2 linked regions of the Arabidopsis thaliana genome follow. The protein of the gene in region 2 interacts with the protein of the main gene of each other region in a pairwise test. Each region holds a gene or a part of one and is shown on either strand. Other genes may lie near its edges. The genes, in order: TGA3 and AT4G15670.

The links.
Region 1: the proteins of AT4G15670 (region 2) and TGA3 interact in binary tests that used the Arabidopsis thaliana proteins (3 or more experiments, as listed by UniProt).

What each region holds. Positions count from the first base shown.
Region 1 is NC_003070.9:7,784,959-7,793,813, reverse strand, and holds TGA3 (transcription factor TGA3), read right to left. Parts: upstream 4,682-8,855; 5' UTR 4,164-4,681; coding exon 4,158-4,163; intron 3,826-4,157; coding exon 3,625-3,825; intron 3,539-3,624; coding exon 3,452-3,538; intron 3,317-3,451; coding exon 3,257-3,316; intron 3,182-3,256; coding exon 3,104-3,181; intron 3,018-3,103; coding exon 2,954-3,017; intron 2,854-2,953; coding exon 2,582-2,853; intron 2,506-2,581; coding exon 2,272-2,505; intron 2,146-2,271; coding exon 1,993-2,145; 3' UTR 1,675-1,992; downstream 1-1,674. Other genes in the region: AT1G22080 (Cysteine proteinases superfamily protein), read left to right, coding at 1-3, 79-425, 502-589, 837-1,024, 1,099-1,186, 1,402-1,410; AT1G22065 (uncharacterized protein), read right to left, coding at 7,707-7,925.
Region 2 is NC_003075.7:8,925,017-8,931,809, reverse strand, and holds AT4G15670 (Thioredoxin superfamily protein), read right to left. Parts: upstream 2,780-6,793; 5' UTR 2,574-2,779; coding exon 2,265-2,573; 3' UTR 1,997-2,264; downstream 1-1,996. Other genes in the region: AT4G15660 (Thioredoxin superfamily protein), read right to left, coding at 5,574-5,882. UniProt on the Arabidopsis thaliana protein: May only reduce GSH-thiol disulfides, but not protein disulfides.

The sequences.
Region 1 (8,855 bases), on a different chromosome or scaffold from region 2:
GAAGTAAGAATAATTTAAGCAGTGTAGTATTTGATTAGGTCTTACTTTCTTAGCTAACATATATAAATTGTTGTGCAGCACATCTACCGTGGCCCATTAGAAGAGAATACTCAATTCACGGGGTTTCATGACGTGGTGATTGTCAAGGTAGATGTGATTAACCGCGAACAGGTGGCGTTGTGCAAGCTGAGCAACGGCCCAAAAATTGGTGTTGGTGGGTATGTATGGGTTTCCCTGGAAGTGATGTACATGGTGGTTGGTGCTCAGGATAATGATAAAGATATGCTTCGGCCCTCCTCAACACCACGCCATCTTCTTTCGGATTTTAATTGCCCACTAATGGATGAAGCTCCAAGGGCAAACCTTAAGAGGAAACAGGAGCAACAAGATGAACCAAAAAGATCTAAAAAGCGTCGTCGTCAAAGGTAAATTGATCAGACTGTCACAGAGTTGAACAATGCTCAGTGTTGCGACTCTTTCATTGCTGTGTTTTGGTTGCAGAGTGGCGCGCAGCAGTTCTAAATTGCACTCTAACCTAGATGATGATGACGTCGCAAGTCTTCATGGCCAAGTCAGGCAGTTGATAAATGTAAGATGACAGATTTCTGAAGCTTCTGGCTCTCTATCTTTTAACATTAATTTCATCTTATGAATTAGGAAATCTGTCATACCTGAGGAGTTGTTACTGTCCTCAAACTCTGTATCACTAGCTGTCCTCATGTAGTTCCTGACTCTTGATGTTTTACAGGAATCAAATGACTTCTGGTTTAAGCTAGTTGTCATTTTTGTTTTACTGGAACTTTGGCTTTGTCGTATGGTTTTATCTTCTTTTGCAGACAAGAGATACAAATAGTCATGATCAAGAAGCATCTCATGAAGACGATAAACCTGCTGTTGTAACTTCAGATAATTTGCCAATCTCTACAGAAGAATGCTCGCAACTAAGCTTTGGATCAAGCCCTTTGAGCAACAACGCAGGAGAGACCTCTGATGTAGCTTCAAAGATGGAACATTCAGATGCTAGGTATTCTGTTACTAGTGATTTCTTTTCCCAAACTATTTATACCATACTTACCAACTGATCATGCTTGCTTGCAGAAGTACCGACTTCTATGGACACTCTATGGGCTCAAGTAATAGCCACAATGCCTTATCACTTGGTGGCCCAAGCAGTTCCATGCCAGAGGTAAATAATCCTTTCTCTTTAAGAAGCACGAGACTGTAATATTTCATCCTCCTAGCTTGTATTTTGTAACAAGGAAGTAGTAGTAAACCGGGTCATGGATACTTTCTTGTTTACATGAAGTACTCTGCTGCCTTTTCCATATGAGTCTTGTGTTCTTCACATTTGGAAGTTGATTTCTTGGTCTATTCTTATGTCTTTTTACTTCTTTTTTCCAGGATGGCTAGTGAAGAAGATTTGAATTTTACAGGAGAGATAAAGAAAGAAAGAGAACTAACCCTTTTTACCCCATTTGTATCACAAAAGGGAAGAAACATGTGTTACCTTTAACTCTTGTCTTTATCTTTCCTCGGTGTGGGCTTTTTTGGCTGAGACCCGTAGGATATTCATTTTAGGCACAATTTGAATGAAGGGAATGATCAAACTCTCTATGAATCTATTTGAATTTATTGTTTGTCTATTGACCAATTTATACCAACAACAAATATAAGCTAAGAACTGTTGGAATAACAATATAGACAAAAAATTTGATTGTGGGCTCAAATTTTCATATACGAGGAGATGAGTGACAACAAACCCTATATATTTTACAAATAAAGAGCCTAATGCATCAAAGACATTACATGTTTTCCACCCAAATTTACACATCTCTTATTCCTTTCAAGTAAACAAAATCATCAATGAGGAAGATGATGCTCTCTAATGGAGAAAATATCAGCCAACACTTTCTGAGAGATAAAGCAAGTCCCTATAGCTAACATCATCTGCCTTGTGCTTCTTTCTCTTTGTTTTGTTTGCCTCCTAACTTGTCAAGTGTGTTCTCGTGGACGAGCTGCCCAGAGAGAACTAAGAGCACGCAGCCTGTGGAAGTATTCTCCTAGAGCGAGCAACCCTCGAGCAGCCTGTCTTGTCGTCAATATCTTACTCATTTGCTGCAGGGTCTGTTGTCTCAGATGATCCGCCTGTTCCAATATTGTCAGAGATTTTGTTTGTGAAATCCATGCTCACAAAGTTTCTAATCAAAAATGAAAATAAACTTTGGATTCATGGAGACTGCAAAAGCACAAAGCAAATACACTTAGCGTTACCTGGTTCACAAAACTCTCCAATGCTTGAAGATTCTCCATGGCTGAAGCCATTGGAGCCCCGTGATTCACAGACTCAACAACTTTTATCTGAATTGCTATGCTTTCGACCAAACCCTGCTGAAGTTTATCTAAGCCTTGAGAGAGAGCCTCCTCTGCTTGCTGAGACGACTGTTGCAGGTTACGCACCTCCAACAGTTGCTGATCGGTTAAGGGCTCAACGTATGGCATCACAACCTAGACAACAAAAAAGGTTGAGCATTTTTTCTCAAGAGTAGAAAGAGAAACGTGTAAAAGTAAAAAAGAAGTTTACATTTAAAAGCTCGGATGGGCGGAAACCTCCAATCCATTGGAAGAAGCGTTCAGTTGAAGTTCGCCACATTCCCGACATCAAGAAGAACACATCAGCCTTTGCAGCATCAGCTTTCATGCGGAAGAGATTTGCGTAGTGGTTCAAGCAACTATCTACCAACATTTTGAGCTCAATGTCACCTATATGAGCTTGGAGCGCTGTTCGAATCTCACTAACTCTCCTGTTTTGCTCTTCTAGCCAGTGTGTGTATTCCATCTCAAATGCAGCAATACCTGAAAATGGTTATTATTGGGAAAATTACTTCTTTATCTACTGAGGATTAAGAGATAAAGCAATGCTAACATATGCTTATTTAGTGATATAAACACCAACCTGAGTTCATATTCCCAGCTGGTCCTAGATAACTAGTATCTGAAGAATTGCGTACGCATAATCCCTAATACAAACCAGAAGAATCACTGAGTCAGAATGAATCAGATAAAGTTTGATGAACACACAACAAATAAACAAGCTTGAGCTAACCTGCTGCCTAGCTCTTACAAGTTCCTGCTCGAGCTGTGACAACTTCAACCGGCTTTCTTCTAACTGTTGAACATGGGCCTACAAGCACAGACACAACTTTGCATAAGCTTTCCTTTTTATCATTAACACAAGAAAAAATCCCACCAAGGTTACCTTCTTTCTCAAACGACTTTTGCGAGCAGCTTCTCGGTTCTGAGCCAAACGCCGTTTCATCTGTTCATAGAGAAGGAACAACAATTCATGTCATCACGCCGTGTCTCTTCCTCTAAAGATTAAAATGGAGAAGGAGGAGTTTATGAAGTCTTCGAAGCAAAAGGTATAAGTAGCCTTAAAATGCTAAAGCCTTACCTTATCATTGATCCGGTCTTCGTCCTGATCATTATTACTCGACGGTTCTGCTTCAAGAGAGTTATTATACACAGAAGTATAATTCACCTGCAACATAATTAACCATCAATCACCAAACAAACAACACTTATAAATCATTCTAAAGCATGATCCAGGAATAAACAATAACTCACTCTATTGTTATCATCTGCTTCTGGTCTAGCATCAACCTCAAGTGTTGTTGAAGAACTCTGATTGTTATTCTGATTACTAGTAATATTGTTGATATCTGATTTGAAAGGACTCTCCCAACCAGATAACTGTTGAAATGGTTCATACATCCCCATGTCTCTGAATGATACAACTTGAGTAGTAGAAGAAGAAGAGCTCATCATCTGTAAATCAACAATTTACAGACTCAAGCTTATTGAATTCAAGAAACAGATTCTCTAGCTCAGCTTTCAATAGATATATAGATCCAGTCCATATCTCTAAAATTGCATTGCTTACTAACACACACAATAAACAAGTAGTTATAGTTTCAGTTTTAGCAATAAAGGTTGAAACTTTAGAAAACCCAGCTCTCCAAAACAGAGCCTTTTGAAGAAACATAGCCAAATAGAGTAATACCCATGAAACTAGAAAGTTGCAACAACTAAAAACCAAAATTGGAAAATTTAAGGACTTCACAAAGCAAGAAAAGATAACATGAGAAACAAAAACCAACCTCCATTGATAAGCAGAGAAGAAATTCATGAGGAGCTCGAGAGATGAAGAATGAATCTTGGCATTCTAAAAGGAATATTCCGATCAAACGGTGACCACAAGAGAGAAGAGAGAAATGAAGAAAAACTTTGGTCAAAACTTAGAGGTGAAGCGTACCCATCATTGAAAAAAAAAAGCAGAGATATTTATTTTTTTATACATATATTTTGTGTTGTTGCTTTTTTTTTTTTCCTCATGGCTTTGATTAGTCCATGAGCGTAGAATAATAAGCAAGTTGAAGTAAACGAACGATGAAACGACAAAAGCATCACCACCGGGAGAAAAACAAATCGAGAGAGATGATAAAAAAGGTTGAGTCTTTTCCTCTATTCCAAAAGTTGACCTTATCGTGCGCCTCTGTTTCTAAACTACACCTTTTGATGACCTGGATTCTTCATCGTCGGCCGACACGTCAGATGCTTGAGGGGAATATTCCGGTAATTTTTATTTTTTAACATAGAGAATCTGAATCTCATATATATAAGATGTGATTTGTTTATGATTTTGTTAGAAAAAAACATACAATATCATATATCAAAACTTAATAGTCGACTTATGATTCACATTATAAAAAGTTGATATATAATATATATATATATATATAGTTTTTAAATTAAAATAGTTATAGTAATGATTTGATCTGAAAATGGATAATTGATATTTGTACCACGAGATTACTACCGATTGGTTAAATATATTTTTTAGTAACGATTTTAAATATAGCTGATAATTTATTTGTATAAATATTTGAATAACTGTGAATTATTTGTTATTCAGAAATTGAATAAACTTTTCCAAGAAATTAGGTCGCATTTTGTGGGACAAGAGTGGAAGATTAATACTTTTAATCAATTTATTAATTTTTATTCGCTTTATTTGGAGGGTCTCAGTGCTATGCAGTGGCATCTTTTAACTTAAGTACTCCTCCTTAGCTTAGTGAGTAATAATTGGGCCTCTAGTGACCTACCCAACTCTAAGAAAATGATTAATTTTGTTATCTTTTTCTTCTTTTGCCTAATACAATATTGATTCTTTAGTTAGTTTGGTGCCACTTGTCTGATAAAATCTGCGTTTCGACAGAGACAAATACGTAAAATAAGTGGGGCTTTTGGTTTGGCTTTAATAAAGATTTCATATACTATAGTTTTCAATCTTTATAAATATGATTCAAAACGTATTGATCAATGACATGCAAAAGGATAAATACCGAAACTAAAATGAATCATTTTGATTTTCTTAAATCTATTAAGTTTTTGTCTTTTTGACGCAACAGCGCAGAAAGGCCTAAAGAGGAAAAGTTGGGCTTAGAGTAAAGCCCATAAAATTTGTCGAATATTCAACACATGGCAAGTGCACGTGAGAAAAAATCTACAGAAGTCTCTGTGCCGCTTTTTAAGGCTTCTCGCCTTGTACAACTTTTTTTTTTTAAAAATGCGCAAGTTTCTTTTCTGTAACGTCACATATTATTTTCGTTAACCCTAATAATTTTGGTGTTTTCTTTATTTTGTTATATAACATGTATAGATTTTAGACCTAAACTTTACCACTTAAAAGAGTGTCTACAATGATAAAAATAATAGATCATAATAAGTTATTTAACTTTAATAATCTAGATGATAGAATTCAATCTTAAGTCTAAAATTTCGTAATAAACCTTTAAATTTTAATACACGATATATTATAATATATTATTATATATTATAATATATTATTATATATACACCCAAAACCGGCTCAATAGAACTGGAATTTTGGTACAAATTTTAAAAATTAGTCTTTTTCAGTATTAATTTTGTTTATACACAATCATTTACTTACATATATATAAACAATAAAATAATATATATATATATATATATATATATATTTATATAAGATAAAAGGATATATAAAAATTTAGACCCTTTAACAACATAATTACAAAAAAATAAGAGTATTTAGGATAAATTGTTTTTTATTAACTTTTTAGCAAGGAAAAACAATTCAATAATTTATATTCTTCATGCATCATATATTTTATGATCGACTGAACAATATCACCATCAACCACTACATGGTTGCAACCAAAGAGGGAGCAACCATGTAGCATTCGACTACCAACAAACAATATCACCATCAACCACCACTACATGGTTGGAACCAAAGAAGGAGTAACCATGTAGCAAACCAACAGTATCACTATCAATCACTACATGGTTGCAACCAAAAAAATAATAACCATATAACATTCGACTACCAACCAACCAACAATATCACCATTAATCATTACATGGTTGCAACAAAAAAAAAGAACAACCATGTAGTATTTTGCCATCAAATAAAAAGACTTTTCACGAATTGTTAATAAAATATATTATATTTATTTTAGACTTGCAAAAGATATCAGTCACTAATTGAAAATAATCATTTTCGCATACAAGAATGTCATTCTTCTTACTTCTTTGCATGCATCAACTTGTCAACTTCATTCAACTATATCCTAAATTGTTTGAATCTACAAAATATATTTTCAATTATTAAAAATAATTAAAATTACGCCAACATTACAAAATATTTGACAATAATTAGGCTCTTAGAAAAATTTATTAGAGGAAAACAAAATCTATAAAATCCTGACGATTTCACGTTTCATAATGAAGATTTCAAAATATTATTTTGTACACCACTAGTACGTTTGATTTTTTGAACAGGAGGTCGCATATTGGTCGCCACATATACTATAATGTTTTGGCCATTTTGATTAGTTAATTAGGAAATATATTAACGGCGTTATATATTTAATTTGGTACTAGTTTTACCATTTACTTGCTTTTTAGTTTTTATAAAAATCTATTTTACTATATAAATCTAGTAGATTAGCCGAACATTCTTCTTGTAAACTATTAAACGGCCGTTCATTGATTTAAAAACCTGGTACTAGATTCAATAATTTACATTTAACAAACAATTATGATACTCGTCTGAAAAGATGTATGAGTTTAGGGCCAGATACTCTTAGTTATTTAAAAAATGTATTTCTAAATAATCTAATTTGTCCATCACATTTGGCTATTCCAATTTGCATCAAATTCTGATGTCACCCATATAGATAGATTAGATACTATACTTATCTATACTTAATTCAGATAGTTGCGTGACCCTCTGGATTTGCCACGGGAAGGAGAGATGCTGGTCTGAGAATAAATTGGCATATATTGTAACTCCAGCCCTTAAATTCCTTATTTATGTGTGTTTGGTCCTAATTAAACTTATTATGCTTAAAAATAACTCATCATGAGTTCATGACTATATAATCGTTACATATGTAGCAGGGATTTAGAAACTCTTATAGCTTTATAAAACATCCAATCTAAATACTTGCTTAAAACCCAAAGAAAAAAAAAAATCATAAAATAAATTCAAACGATAAACACTACATATTAAACATAAAGCAAACAAAAAGGGCAAAAGAAAATTCTAACGTTTTTATTCATTATAATTATTTGATTAATTTTGGACGCGCCATTATAGCTTATTCTGTAATCATAAGATCACAAACTTTAGCAGAGTTTTTCTTGGTGCTCAGCTTTCCAAAGAACCATCGACCAGATCCTCCACCGTTCTCTTCGATTCCACCAGCGGTTGTGGCCGCGGTTGCCGTTATACTCTTCATGTTCTCTCTATGAAACTTCCTCATCGTGTAAACCTCCGCTATAGCCATCCCTCCTAGTCCCGATCCGTCTAGTGACATGTTATCAAAAAGTTTACAGGAGAAAAATATGATGGTAATTATGAAAAGAGATGCAAATAGAGACAATAGGTGGTAAAATGTAAAAAGAAGTTGGTGAAAGGTGAGTGTGGTTTGGAAATTTAAGAGTGAGGGATTGGGATGAATATATAGATCAAATTTGTGGGTCCATTTTAGTTGAATTTATTTTCTCTGTTTCCCACTTATTATACGTACATTGTTTTGACAGCTATTATATGTACACAAATAGTGGGAATCTAAAATAATTATTAAAAAAAAAATCTAATGTTATTGTTGCTTTAGTTCCAAGTGTTTCTATCGTCAGAGATACAATGAAAAACAGTTTGGGTTACTCTATTATCGAAGCGAAAAGAGGTTACATCGTCCTTTGTTGCGTAGTTGGCGATGAATTCAGCAAAACAGATTTTAGAATCGAAGACTTTAAATCGTTCATTGTTTTCTTTTAAAGGTAAGATTACTATTTATATAAAGTGGACCATGTAACTATATTTCCTTTTTTTGTCGGCAGAACTATAGGTTACCAGTTATAAACTATCTAAATGTATTTTCTTTCATGAATGCGATGGCGTAACATAAGTTATACACATTTAGTTGATCGGATAGCAAAACTACCAGAAACAGACTACGTGAAAAAGCAAATAATGTGTGGTCAGAACTCTTCAATGCATAATCAGAAACAGACTACGTGAAAAAAGTAATCACTCAATCAATAGATCAAGCATTATTTTAGATATTTGCTAGTTAAACTGAACGATTATTCCTAAATTTGAGTGGTGATTCCTGATCATTCATCATATTCGTATAGTCATTACAAAGCAAATGGTGGTTTAATTTCTGTTTGAGTTATTGAGTATCAGGCGACATTACATATACGACAATCTCTCATTAAAATACAAAGTTAAAACAATAATT
Region 2 (6,793 bases):
TATTATAATGTGAAATGTGTTCGAAGAGCGACTCGCCGAGGATGAAATGGGTAGTTTTTTTTATTGAAATGAGAGAAAAGGGGTGAAATTGGTAAGCTAGAGAACTTGAAGTCTTTGGCTGACGATATATAAGAGATGACTTAGAGTTTGTTTTTGATGTAGTGAAGGGTCTCTAAGGGTCCTTTATATATAGCTTTCTTGATGTCGGTTTGAGATAGCACTTTTCAGCGAATCAACTTTATAACACGAAAATAAAGAACCTATTAAAAAATAATGAAAACTAAGATAGTGGGAGTACAATTTGAGGAGCTCACACGTTCTTGACTCTTTACCACTTGCAGCTAAAGAATAAAACTATCAACTAATTAGGTAAAACGTACAGAAAACAAAATCTCTTAGATGTGAGGAATATCTTATACGTACGAATCATGTCATATTAGTCTTGGCCTTCTATTTCCAGTTTCAATCAAAAGAGATATATTTTCAACACAAATACATTTTTGTCTCCTATCACATAGTTACTTATAATTATTTACTGTGATGTTTTACATGTGAATTTTCTTTTTGGTTACCAAATATTACACGTATATGTAATTTTACCAATATTCATCGGGTTGTAAATTTCATGATAATTATCATATAGTATAATGAAACCTTCTTATCAAAAAAAAAGATCTACTTAAAATCTTAAAATCGCTGCCATTGAAATATACAATATTACTCACGATAAAAAAAATTGCATCTCCTAAAAAAAAAGAAAGAATTGCATCTCCTTCCTTGGCGAAGACTCGAGATCGTATGGTATATCTCCAGAATAATCTTATTCTTCATCTTTTTCGTTTTTTGATTGTGCGGTTTACGTGGCCTCTTCACTTACAAGTAAAAACCTTCCTTTATTCTCACAAATTGTTCATCATAAATCAATATGGGAATAATTTATGTCTGATTCTTGACGTCGCAAAGATTCGATCTCATGCCATGAGGATAAGGCTCAATGGGACGAAACAATATTTTTGTTTATGTTAAAACTCGATTTGTCGATGGAATGTGGCCCAACTGTGATCCGGAGAGTCGTTTATTCATATACTACAAATTACAAAGTAATCGTATTCCATACATGTCTTATGTAAAAACACATATTATCGAATCACATCGCATCCAATCCCAGAACTATTTCACACCATCCTGTAACTTTAATTATATACGTCCAGCAATTTTGGGTAAATCTCACTTTTCTCCTAAAAACTTGTTGGTGCTTTGAACACTTTATAAATTTCGTCAAAGTAAGTGAGCTTATTTTTTCCCTACAATTTGTATTAATTAATTTATGAGTTTCACTAAGGTTATATGCTTCACTAAGGTTATATGTATATATATATATATATATATTTTTAATGTATATAAGTGTCAGAATATTATCCGTAACATAGAGAAATGGATGAACGTCTTGCATTTTTGTTGTGAGCACTCAATGTGACATCATAATTAATAGTGTTGATAGCTTGTGTCGAAGTCTACTTCCCTTTATTCAAAGGTTAAGCGGCGAGTTTCTTGGTGACTATGGTATAAGATTGTTTTGCTGGAAGAACAGCCAAGGGTATGCGGTCCTTAGTAGTTTGAGGGAGAGAGTGTGGCAATATCATTCTAATTAGGATATAATTATTTGTTTTTATAATATATTTTATTAAGAAGAAATGGTTTGGAACATGTTATGCATTAAGCGCATTGGGGCTTAAAGTTAGTAATGAGTACGTATTTTAATTAGAATATTTATATCCGCACATACGATATTTTTAAATGCATGCATGATATTTTTGATCAAAAATACTTCATACTAGCCGATTTGGTGACATGGAAATTCCTAAACCTAACACAACTATATAGTAACAAAATTCTTGTTTAGAGACGCCCAAATCTATATAGTAACATCCATAAACGGATATATTCCGATTAAGAGTTAGAGTTTCTTTCATCAAATGTGACATCTTTTGTAACTCACACTTTCTGGTCCTTCATTTTTAACATGTGTAAATTTCCAATACCCATGGCATACACTTTTCTTAAATGCATGTTTGTATTCATAAAAACTGAAAATAGAAATACAACACTAAGTATACCAAGAACGTTACGAAATCAGTACCCTGCCTCATAATCTATCCTTTCAAAACTTAGATAGACACAAAACATTCATATGTATATGATTGGTTTCAATACATTATTATTACCAATCTACAATCAATAAGTAACTATTTCTTTATATTTTGTCAAAGCCATAACGCCCCAACGCGTTTAAGCATTGGAATGAGAGAACGGTTGAGATGGAGACTCATGACTTGATTGGCTCCACCGACAAGCTGCCCTCCTATGAACACCACTGGCACGGTCGGGCTGCAGCCAAGCTGAGCCAATGCTTGCTCTATCTCTTTTCCTCTGTTGATCTCATCTAGCTCATAAATCGTCGGATTTACGCCAAGGTCTAAGAAGAGAGTCTTGATTGTGTGCGACATGCAGCATGAGTTTTTGCTAAATATCACTAACGACTTCTCCGAGGTCATCTTCTGTAGCTTCTCCATTTTTGTTAATTTGAAAGTGTGTTTGAAAAGTGACTTGAGGAGGATGAAATAGGTTATGTTTTGATTACAAGATGCGAGATTAGGGATGAAAATGGGGTACTAGAGAACCGTTAAAGAGATTGTGATATCTTTGGGTGAAGATGAGAAGTGACTTTGACTTTTATGTGTTTGATCAGTTTGATGAAGAGAAGTGTCTACAAGGGTACTATATATAACATTCTACGTAAGGATATGATATTATGGGTTCGATGTAACTCTTATTAAGAGAATAAACTTATAGCATAAAATAAAGAGCACATTTTATTTGCGGCTATGATCGGTTCACACCTTCTTGACTCTTTGCCTCTTGCAGCTAAAGAATAAAACTAATTCGGTAAAACGTACAAAAAACAAAATCTCTAAGTTGTGAAGAATATTTGATACGGACGAATTTATGTCCATGTCTCTATGGTACGGCCATATATGTTCATTGTCAAAAGATATATTACTTTATCACTTTTCAGGGAATTTAATAGTGTTGATGCTTCATAACTGGTAGATAGTTTTCATAATTTTTTAAATTAGAAAGTTTAATAGTAAGTAAGCCTACACTCATTGACAAAACATAATAATTTATAAGATTTGTTTTTAAAAAGATAAACAAAACCTTACACCATGTGGAAATAAAAGTCAATTAATGAACGTTTTATGAGCCAAAAGTAGTCTACATACAGTATACACATGAACATGATAGAAATTACAAGCTCTACTTCTTGAAGACTCGAGATTGTATAATTCCAGAATAATCTTTTATCTTTTTTTTGGTGTTTGAGGATTACGTGGCCTCTTGACTTGCCATCAAAACATATGTTTTTATCAAAAAACTTTGGTCATGAATCGTTTTGGGAATAAAGGTACGCTTTGCATGATTCTTGACAACGCTAGCTCGATTTCATTCCATGATGATAAGGCTCAACTGGAACCACTTTTTTTTTTTTTTCTGGATCAAAAGGTGGCCCAACATTGTTGCGGAGAGTCGTTATTAATCATATATGAAAAATACAAGGTCATCATATTCACAGCACGTACATGTCTTATGAACAAAACACAGATCATATGATCGCATCTAATTCCAGATCTTTATATTTGTAATGTATGCATGATTTGATTTGAAAAAAAAAACAATTTGGTTAAATTGTTAGATATTGTTTACTATTTAGAAGGTTTAAAATGCAGAACATCAAATAAATTTACGAGTTTAGAAAGCCAGAATAGCAGCCATAAATTTTCCATGCCACAACAAACCTCTTTTTGCGTCGAGTTGCTTTCCTCGAAGTTTCTAATTATCATCGTAGTTCTTCATTTTTTTCTTTAGAAGAAAGAAAAAAAAAAGTTTTTCGAATTAAATTTCTCCCCTACAAGTATGACAAATGAAGAAAACAAATTGAAAACTTTACTTGTAGATGATGTTAATGTTTTTATTTGATTGATTTGTGGGATATAATTCAAATGGTAGTAGTACTTGCACTCAATGACAAACAATATTGGAGAGACAGTAAAGAAAATATCAATGTAAGGTTCATTTGATTACCTTAAAGTATTCGACAAACTTCTCCGACTTTTTATTTCATTTAATAGCTACAAATTTGTTCTCTATAAGTTAGTTTTATGTAATATGTTATTTTTACAAGAAACTTTCATCTATATACTGTTTTATTGTCATTTACTTAATTTATTTTTTCAATTGCCATTTATCTAAAACTTATCTCAAATCTTGTCATTCACCAAACTGACTCTTAAAATTACCAAAATTTATCTATTTATAAACAAAATTATGCACATTATTTAACTAAGAAAACAAAAGGCACCACACAATGTGCATTATATACAATAATGCAAACACCTATTCTCTCCTTTAATTTTTCCATTTATTTTATTTAGTGGTTTTCAAAACATTCTTGATTTAGTCGTGGGCCGAATACCACTCCTACTTGATCTATTTTATGTTTTCATAAAAGCAATGGCTGTAAAAACAAATAATAACGGTCCAGGAAATGAGTCGGACAAATATACAATCTGTCACATAGAGCTTGCTGGCAAGACATATATATGTATGAGTGCAAGTTCCAGAAAAGAGGTTATTGTCGTGAATTCTTTTTAATCAATGTGTTATACTACTTATGGATCGTAATACAAATTAACGTAGACTGATTCACCGTTTGGTTTAAATTTATGATTTACTGCGAAAATAAAATCTAAAGAGAGAAAGGGAGGATATTTTACACCATCTCCACTCCCACTTTTATATTTTCCGCTAAACTTTATTGTAGAGCAAAATATCTCCAATTATAATCTATTTCTAAATGAAATATATATATATATATATATTTATAAATATATATTGTAAATTTATACTAGATCTCTATTTTAAAATTTGAAATAGAATAGGGTTGGAAAAAAATGCACTCAAATTTAACTCTAAAATAGAGTTCTTCTATTTTTAAGTGAAAAAAAATAAAGATATGGGTTAGAGAAGTCTTTTACCAATCAATATACTGATTAGACTTACACTTTGTTTAAAACGAGAATGGACTTTGATCAATGAGTTATACTTTGAGATTATACATGTTTTTTTTTTTTATATTCTCTCTTGCAGCTTTGACATCGTGAGAGACGCCCCGAATAAGAAAAAAAAAACAGAAACAAAAGTAAGCTTTTTCGCTTTTTGATAAAGAGAGAAAAGAAGTCAAATTAAAGTCTTTCTTTTTCTCTACAATATGTGTACCATTTCTTAATAGCATGTATATATATATTAAAAACCAAAAGCATGGACAAGTAGAAATACAACACTAGGTTGTTTACTATAAAATATACCCACACGTTACAAAATAGGTATCCTCACAATCTATCCTTTCAAAACTTACATGCATACATTTTTTTTTTTTTTGTCATCCTTGATTGGTTTCATGACATCATTATTACCAAGCTACGATCAATAAGTAACTATTCTTTTATATTTTATCAAAGCCATAAAGCCCCAAAGCGTTTAAGCATTGGAATGAGAGAACGGTTGAGATGGAGACTCATGACTTGATTGGCTCCACCAACAAGCTGCCCTCCTATGAACACCACTGGCACAGTCGGGCTGCAGCCAAGCTGAGCCAATGCATACTCTATCTCTTTTCCTCTGTTGATCTCGTCTAGCTCATAGATTGTCGGGTTCACGCCAAGGTCTAAGAAGAGAGTCTTGATTGTGTGTGACATGCAACAAGAGTTATTGCTAAATATTACTACCGACTTCTCGGAGATCATCTTTTGTATCTTCTCCATTGGTGTTATAATGTAATAGGTTGTTTGAAAAGCGGCTTGCAAAGGATATTAGTGGGTATGTTCGATTACAATGCAAAATCAGAAATGAAAGATTGGAAAATTAGAGACAATCAAGGAGACTGTAATATCTTTGGGTGAAGATGAAAAATGACTTTGAGCTTATGTGGTTGATCAGTTTGATGTAGATAATTGTCAATAAGGGTCCTCTATATATACAGCTTTAAGGTACGTAAAGCTATGACATTATGCGTTGGATGTAGCACCTTTTTTTTATAGAATCAACTTTATAGCACGAAATAAGGAACACATTTTAAATAATGTAAACTTATATAGTGGGAGTATCCTAAAGAATCTGAGGCTAAGATCGATTCACACCTTCTTGCCTCTTTGCCTCTTGCAGCTAACGAATAAAACTAATTCGATAAAACGTACAAAAAAAATTAAATCTCTTAGCTGTGAAGAATACTTGATACGGACGAATCATGTCATGTCTCTATAGTACGGCCATATATTTTCTTTATCAAAAAGAGATATATCTCATGATCTTCATAGTTTGGTTTTTCTAATTGGAAAGTTCGGACCCATTGGATCTTACTATATCTAAGGCCGGCATGGGATGATAATTGTATTGACTAGCAGAATTCGATTAGGACATAAGTTATGTGTTGATGACTTGATGCTTACAAAAATGTCTGCTTTGTGATCCTTTTTTAATACATAGGATAAACTATATCTAGTTATGATGAAAGTTACTTGTAATGAAGCTGCTAAAACGAGATATACATTTGACATAGGTTCAAAACCTTAATTAAACCCCACCCATTGACATATAATCAGCATAATAAAAGTAGAACACTCGAGATCGTACGGTATATCTCCAGAATAATCTCATATGGTTGTTGTGTTGAGGA